2 linked regions of the Cricetulus griseus genome follow. Each later gene encodes a partner of the first gene's protein in a complex. Links are inferred from orthologs where the notes say so. Each region holds a gene or a part of one and is shown on either strand. Other genes may lie near its edges.

Region 1 (3,751 bases):
ACTTATTGATAGGACAGGATTGCATGAGACAGGAGGACTGTGGGTTCGAGGTTAGCCTTGGCTCCATAGGAAAAACCCTGTTTCAAAATCATGCATATATCTCTAACATGTTCTAACATTACCTAATTACATACAGAAATTAAATGATACAAAGGAGTGCAAGAGGAAGAGATGGCACCTTTCTCCATGTTCTTCTGTATAACTATCCAGAGGCAATTAACTCACTGGGCTAAAGGTTGTCCTTTGTCTTCTTTGCTCTATTGGGCAAAGAACATCATAGTCAAGCTCCTCAAGAGAAAGCCCAGACCGATCTGAGTTCAGATAATTTTGGAATCAAAATCCAACATTGGCTCATGCAGTGGTGTCACTGTATATCAATGGCTGCTGCTTCTTCCAACAAAGGTTACCAGGGAGGTGCTGGTGAGCAAGCACCATTGTTTCTACTACCTCCATGGAGATCACACAAAAACAGCTGTAAAGTTTGTTACATTTATAGCTATTGGATTTCTTAAGAGATGTGAAAGACACAGTTATCTCTCCACAACTTGAATGTCTGTTTGCTCAGAGGAAATGGTTTGGTGCTGATTTAATCAGAACTTCACTAAATAAAGAGTGCATTCTTATTTCTTGACTACCACAGAGCACTAGTGTATGTTTGCTTGACAGGTTATCTTCCATCCTTAGACAGTTTTTTATGTGTCTTACATATAAGGCATGTCTCTTTGGATAGTTAGGTCTTGTTCTAATGCAGTGAGTTGATATTCATCTTTTAATTGTTGTATTGAGAACATTTGCATTAGGTCATTGTTGAGAAGGGATTGCCATTTCCTGTGGGTTTGTTGGTAGTTCAGGATGGTGGGACTACTAAGGATTTCCTCCCCTCCTTTGAGTACTGGGGGTTTCCTGATTTGATGTGTTGGCCATGATGGGTCTCAGGTCTCCTTTGATTGTACATTGCTCTCATGAGTATGTTCTTTCCTGTGTTTTACTGAATGAGACTGTCTTTTTTCCTTCTCCCTGTATGGTATTCAGACAGATCTTTTCTGCAGCACTGGCTCCACTGCCGTGGGTTTTGATAAAAGGGACTGCGCTATAAAGAAGTGCAGGTTGAGTACTCAGCATTGAATAGGACTTGGGTTTCAATACCTTCTATCCAAACATCACACACATCAAGGCTTTAGGAACATCCTGAAAGGGGAAGAAAGTAGTAAAAACCAGAGGATTGGGAGGAGTGCTGTGAAATACTGTCTCCTGACCATGACACTCACAAATTCACAACACCTGTGGTTATCTGCTCAAGATCTACACAAGACCAAGCCAGCCAAAATTCTGGTATTGACTTGTTAGGTTTTCTCCAGGCTCCACCCCGTACTGAGGAGTTATTGGTTGTTTCTGCTAGAGGGAGAAACATTCTTTTGTTGCTTTGTGGCCACTGATCAGATTCTCATACTCCAATGGATGACCTACTCTAATGTATTAAGCGCTACACCTGATTGCAACTATGCTTCTATTTTCTACCATCTGATTTTCACCAGAATCAATCATACTTAGTGCTACACTCTCCTGAATTTCTGAAACGGTGTGGCAAAGCAGGCTGCATTCCTTCACAGATAATACAACCATATCACCTTGGAATTCTGTTATAACAATATAAAGTTAAGAATGGCTTTGGAAACTGTCATTATCTACTGGGACCTGAATGTGTACCTCCAAAGCTTCCTGTGGACAATCTCTTACCAGTGTAACACTAGCAGAAGATAGACTTACAGAGACATGTGTTCTGACAGTGTGAAAGGAAATGGTGAACAGAATGACCCCAGTCAATCACACAGACATGTATACACTAGGACTGCCACAGAGGGGAAAGGAACAGGAAAATATTCAGAGAAATAATGGCTGTAAACTTACCAGTGAAGTGTGGGACTGGGGCCCTCTGGAGGCATGTGGGCCACAAGAACTCCACACTCATGAATGGATCCCTGCTGATTATAAATGGGCAGGAGACTGAATTTCCACTCTTGTTTTTGTTTTACATACCTTTGTCTTTTGACACAGGACAATGCCTCCAGAGCCCCACCCCCACCCCATAGGTAAAACATCTTGACATTGGATTCCTAGCTTCTAGAACCACAAGTCAAATGAGTTTCTTTTCTTTACAGACAACCAAGCTTCTGGCATTGTGTAATAACAAAACATCAAGTATTAGGACAGACATGAAAATATCCCTGGGTTATCTAAAAAAAATGAGGATCTAGTGGAGCTGAGTAACTAGGTTTTTTATAGCTTTACTTTTTTTTTCTTTTTTGTAATTTACTTTTTACATTCCAATCCCAGTTCCCCCCTCTTTCCTTCCTTCTCCCTCCCTCCATCCGCCCTCCTCTCATCTTCTCCACAGAGAGGGTAAGGCCTCTCATAGGAAGTCTACTAAGTCTGTCCCATCATCTATTTGAGGCAGGACCAAGGCACCTCTCCACCCCACACCCCTGTGTCTAGGCTTGGTATGGTATCTCTCCATATAGAATGGATTCCACTAAGTCAGTTTGTGCATTAGTGTTAGGTCTTGGACCCACTGCCGATGACCTCATATATTGTCCCAGTCACACCATTGTCACCTATATTAAGGGTTACATTAAGGGTTAAGTACAGCTGTACTTTGTACTAGTAATCTTTTCATATCCATTGTCTTGTGTTACTTCCATGGACAAGGTGACTATTTTCTGTGATCTCGTAATTCCAATGCAGTTCACACCCATGTTCTCTGTTTCTGATTGTCTAATATTTTACATAAACACATTATTAGTCCCAAACTGAAACCACATGTGTATGTTCTCTTATCTGGCTTTTTGTATAACGGAAGGGAAGACAGGAGATGGCTGATGCATTTTACCAACCTTTTTTTTTTTTTTAAAGATTTTATTTACTTATTATGTATACAACATTCTGCTTCCATGTATATCTGCACACCAGAAGAGGGCTCCAGCTTTCATTACAGATGGTTGTGAGCCACCATGTGGTAGCTGGGAATTGAACTCAGGACCTCTGGAAGAGCAGCCGGTGCTCTTAACCTCTGAGCCATCTCTCCAGCCCCTTTACCAACCTTTCTAATTGTATAGTTCTTAATGCTGGGTTTGTACATGCATCAATCTGATGTGAATTTACTGTACATTATTTCCTGCAAATAACACCTGGCATTTCCTGAGAAGTGGGTCTAATAGCAATGTACTGGACTCTCATTTTAGGGATAATGTTCTCTTTCATTTCTGAGAGTTTTCCCAATTATACAGTTTCTCAACAGCACCTGTCTAGCACATGAGCCTTCAGTCCCCTCACCTTCTATCCACCATGGTTCCCAATGATCAGGGTGTTCTTGGTCTCATAATTAATTTGCTGCGTTCTCTTGGTGCTGTCTTAACACTTTCTCTCAGGGTTTTTACTAAATGTTTCTATGTGCTGGTCACTATGTGTTCATGTATCATAGTTCATCAATATCCTTAAATATGGATATTGATATTTTTCATCTAATTTCTTAAGTTTTCAGCCATTGCCTCTTTGGATATTTTTCTGCTACCACCTTTTCTCTGGCACTTCCATTGTGCTCAGATTGCCAACAGCTCTGAATCTCTATTCACTTTCTTCCTTTTTCTGTGCTCTTCAGATTGCATTGTCTCTACCAACTGATCTTTCTGAGATATTGTTAAAATGCGCAGTGGACATTTAGTTCAGTTCAGTTGTATATTGGAACTCTAGAATT
Region 2 (3,751 bases), on another chromosome or scaffold:
GCAATGGAGTAGATGGCTTGCAGTGTGTGCATGGAAAACAAATTCATAAAGAAGCAGGACAAGGGCTCAGAAGATGACTTAGTGGGTATAAGAACGTGCAAGCGTGGGGCTGGAGAGATGGCTCAGAGGTTAAGAGCACCGACTGCTCTTCCAGAGGTCCTGAGTTCTGGTGTGCAAATAAACATGGAAGCAGAATTTTGTATATATAATAAATAAAATCTTTAAAAAAAACATACAATCGTGAGGATCTGAATTTAAATCTCTAACACTCTGGTAACAAGCACATACCCGTAACCTCAGCATGTAACCTCCCAATGGCAGAGATAGGAGCTAGGTAACACAGCTGCAACAGCATGCCTCTGATCCACTGAGAGACCCTATCTCATGATAACAAGGTGAAGAACAATAGAGGAAGATACCTGATGTCCTGCTCTGACCTGATGAGCAAGTGCATACTCACATTCATGCACCACACACACCAAAAGAAAAAAAGTAATAAAAAAAGATGCAGGACAATGGCTGCTGTGTGTCTTGAAAATCAGGTCACGGGGAACAGTGCTATAAAAATATTTTTAGCCTAAGAGGCTCTCAGGTGGAGCTTTAACTTCTCTGAGACTGGTACTCTGTTGCCTAATAATTATTCTTGAGATGGTTAGTGAATCCAGGAGCAACTGGTTATTCATTTCTAGCACTTGGGGCAGCAAAATGTTCACATGCAAACAGTGCTTATGATTATATTTAAAACATGACCAGGGATCTTGCCAAATACAGTTATCCTGAGAGTACCTGGCTATTGTTGTGTGATAACGGAGTATCTCATCAGTGTTCTAACTACAGTGAAAGACACTTACCAAGCAAGCCTCAAGAGCAATTACCAAGAGAAGAACTGGGGGAAATGGGCATTGAAAGGAGACCTGCAAAGTAGCTGTCAATGCCAAGATTTCTCTGTTGTTTGTTTGTTTGATTGTTTGTGAGGGCATTGGTGGTTGTTGTTTTTTTATATATATATTTTGTTTGAGACATGGTCTCATGTAGCCCGAGCTGATCGAAAACTCCATATGTAGCTGAGGACGAACTAGACCTTAACCCCTTGGATCCTTCTGCCTGCCCTACCCAGGTGCTAAAATGACAGGCATGTACTACCACACCCAGCTCAAAAATTCAACTATCCACTAACACATTTGAAAGTGCTGTAGCCAAAAAAAAAAAGTCAAAGTTAAAAAAAGAAAAGGAAATGAAACTTGGAAGAGCCACCCCTACAGAAATAGATTTCTAAGAGTCACCATCAAACTGACCTGGGTTTTGAAGTTTGTCCTTCAGTGCTTCAGAATTCATCTTCCTCAGCAAGAACGTGAGCGCAAAAAGTACCAAAGAAACAATCAAGGTCAAGCCCAAGAAGGTCCAAAGAACAATTTGTACCCCTTTCGTTGAACCTGTCACACCTTTATTAAAAGAACATCACAGAGATCAGTACTCAAATCAAGTATGAATTTTCTAACACTCAACTCCCCTATTGCATATTCATGAACACCTTACTTTGGGGGTAGGTCAGGCTGGCCTCAAACTCATCTGTAGACCTTGGCTATGGATGAGTCCACCTCCTATGTAAGTGCTGGGATTACAGATCTGCAGCAACATGACTATAAATACTGCTGCAGAGCCCAGGGCTGTGTGTGCACCAGCCAGGCACTCTACCAACTCATCTACAACTTGGCTCCTTTTTTGAAACAGGATTTCACTGTAGCCCAAGCTGCCCTGGAATTCACTATATAGTTCAGGCTAGCCTCAAATTTGAGTGGTTCGACACCCCTTGGGGTTGTTGAATAATCCTTTCACAGGGGTCACATAAGATAATTGACATTATGATTCATAACAGTAGCAAAATTACAGTTGTGAAGTAGCAACAAAACAATCTTAATGGTTGGGAATCACCACAACCTGAGGAACTGTACTAAAGGCTTGCAGCATTGGGAAGGTTGAGAGTGAGAACCGCTGCTCTGGAGGCTTAAAAGCCCCCCTCCCTGGCTTCACCAACATTGACTTTTAATTTCTAAATGTCCTTCAGTTAAGAGCTGATGAAATCGCCATCACTATTGGTGCTGAATAAAATGGAATTTGGATCTGAACAATTCCTTTGCTCCAGGAGACATCTAAATTATTGCTTGATTTCTGGTTTTGATTCAGGAAAACGAAACAAAAATAATCTCCCACCTTCTCTGTTAGATAAATAGGCACTATCAAGAATGCCTCCCAACAAGAAGCAGCTATTGAAGAGTCTCACTTACTTGGATTACAGTAAGGCTGACAGGGTACGGGAGGGCTGGAACATCGAAGGTGGCAAGGTTTGCAAGTGTGCAGCAGACTGTCAAAATATTCACTGTGGAAGCACTGCGGAGCCATGTGGGACTTGATCACTGAAATAAATGGAAACAGCAGACAGAACAGCATGGAGGACAAACAAATTCTCAGCAAGAGTTCCCCGTGGACAGCGGTCAGCGATGTTGAGGGGGAAGGAATGACCCCTGCCCTTGTTGGCTCTTATGAGGGCTGTAGGTATTATGGCAGAGGATTTGAATACCTCTCTGGGTCTCTGTTTCTAAGAGGCTTGGGTGGGGCAGTGAGGGGTATATTACAACAAACGTACCTGAAACAGAAACTACCTATTTATAGAGGAAATTTCTCACACAGGTGACAGTTGCATGAGGTGGACAAGTCTAGGGTATCAAGCAGAAAGTGCAGTAGCCATTTATGGACCACCTATTTGTGGGCTGTACCATGTGATAGGAGACAGGCAAGATGAAGACTGTGTCCCATACACACTTAAAGTCAATAGGGAAGGCAGACCATAGTCTGTAACTGGAGGGCCGTAGCAGCTGACTGAAGGGAAATTGGAGGGAGGAATCAGTCAAATATGACAACTGATAGTCATATTTCGCAGCTGGGATTAAAGCAAGAGGCTTAAAGGAAGATTGTTTGTGGGCATTCTGTCATGACAATAAAATCCATCCTACTTGAGCATGGTGGTGCACCTTTACTTCCAGACTTCTGGAGGAGAAGCAGGCAAATCTCTGTGAGTTTGAGGCCAGCCTCATCTACCAGGACTAAATAGTCAGTAAAACATCAATCCAGTATACATCCATGAAAAGAAATGGGTCTTTACCATCTCCCAAAAAAAATGCTTACAGACTTGAATTGATTGATGACTTATGAATATACATCATATCCTTTATGATCCTGCAATGTCAGGGTTAAGGATTCAAGATTGAGTGTCCTTTGGGTACATGCCTAAAATCCCAATTTATGAGACAGAGGCAAGAGGGTCTCAAGTGGAAAGCCAGCCTGGGTTACATATCAAAATCCTATCTCAAAATTTTTTTCTTTTTCTTTCTTTTTTTTTTTTGCATTTTCAAGACAGGGTTTCTCTGTGGCTTTAGAGGCTGTCCTGGAACTAGCTCTTGTAGATCAGGCTGGTCTCAAACTCACAGAGATCCGCCTGCCTCTGCCTCCCAAGTGCTGGGACTAAAGGCAAAAAAATAAATTTTTAATTGAAGCTGGGCATGGTGGCATGCACCTATAGTCACAGCCACCTGGGCAGTGAATTCAAGGCCTGCCTGAACTACACTGTAGCAAACTTGTCATAAAACTACATGACTGGGGGCTGAAGAAATGGTTCAACAGTTGCACTGGCTGTTCTTCCAAAGGACCTGGGTTTGATTTCCAGCACCTACATGGAGGTTCACAACCATCTATA

The links. Proteins that work in one complex are often made in the same cells at the same time.
Region 2: the proteins of Tnfsf13b (region 1) and Tnfrsf17 are in contact, whole or in part, in a crystal structure (PDB 1OQD), measured with the Homo sapiens proteins. The link is inferred for Cricetulus griseus from reciprocal best matches to the Homo sapiens genes TNFSF13B and TNFRSF17. Residues at the interface, in NP_006564.1 of Homo sapiens: Ser162, Tyr163, Lys204, Thr205, Tyr206, Ala207, Met208, Gly209, His210, Arg231, Cys232, Ile233, Glu238, Pro264, Arg265, Glu266, Asn267; in NP_001183.2 of Homo sapiens: Tyr13, Asp15, Ser16, Leu17, Leu18, His19, Ile22, Arg27, Ser29, Ser30, Asn31, Thr32, Pro33, Pro34, Leu35.

The regions. Positions count from the first base shown.
Region 1 is NW_023276807.1:70,512,224-70,515,974, forward strand, and holds the start of Tnfsf13b (tumor necrosis factor ligand superfamily member 13B), read right to left. Parts: upstream 2,312-3,751; 5' UTR 1-2,311. UniProt on the Homo sapiens protein: Cytokine that binds to TNFRSF13B/TACI and TNFRSF17/BCMA. TNFSF13/APRIL binds to the same 2 receptors. Together, they form a 2 ligands -2 receptors pathway involved in the stimulation of B- and T-cell function and the regulation of humoral immunity.
Region 2 is NC_048600.1:35,396,920-35,400,670, forward strand, and holds the start of Tnfrsf17 (tumor necrosis factor receptor superfamily member 17), read right to left. Parts: upstream 2,410-3,751; 5' UTR 2,401-2,409; coding exon 2,286-2,400; intron 1,443-2,285; coding exon 1,284-1,442; intron 1-1,283. UniProt on the Homo sapiens protein: Receptor for TNFSF13B/BLyS/BAFF and TNFSF13/APRIL. Promotes B-cell survival and plays a role in the regulation of humoral immunity. Activates NF-kappa-B and JNK.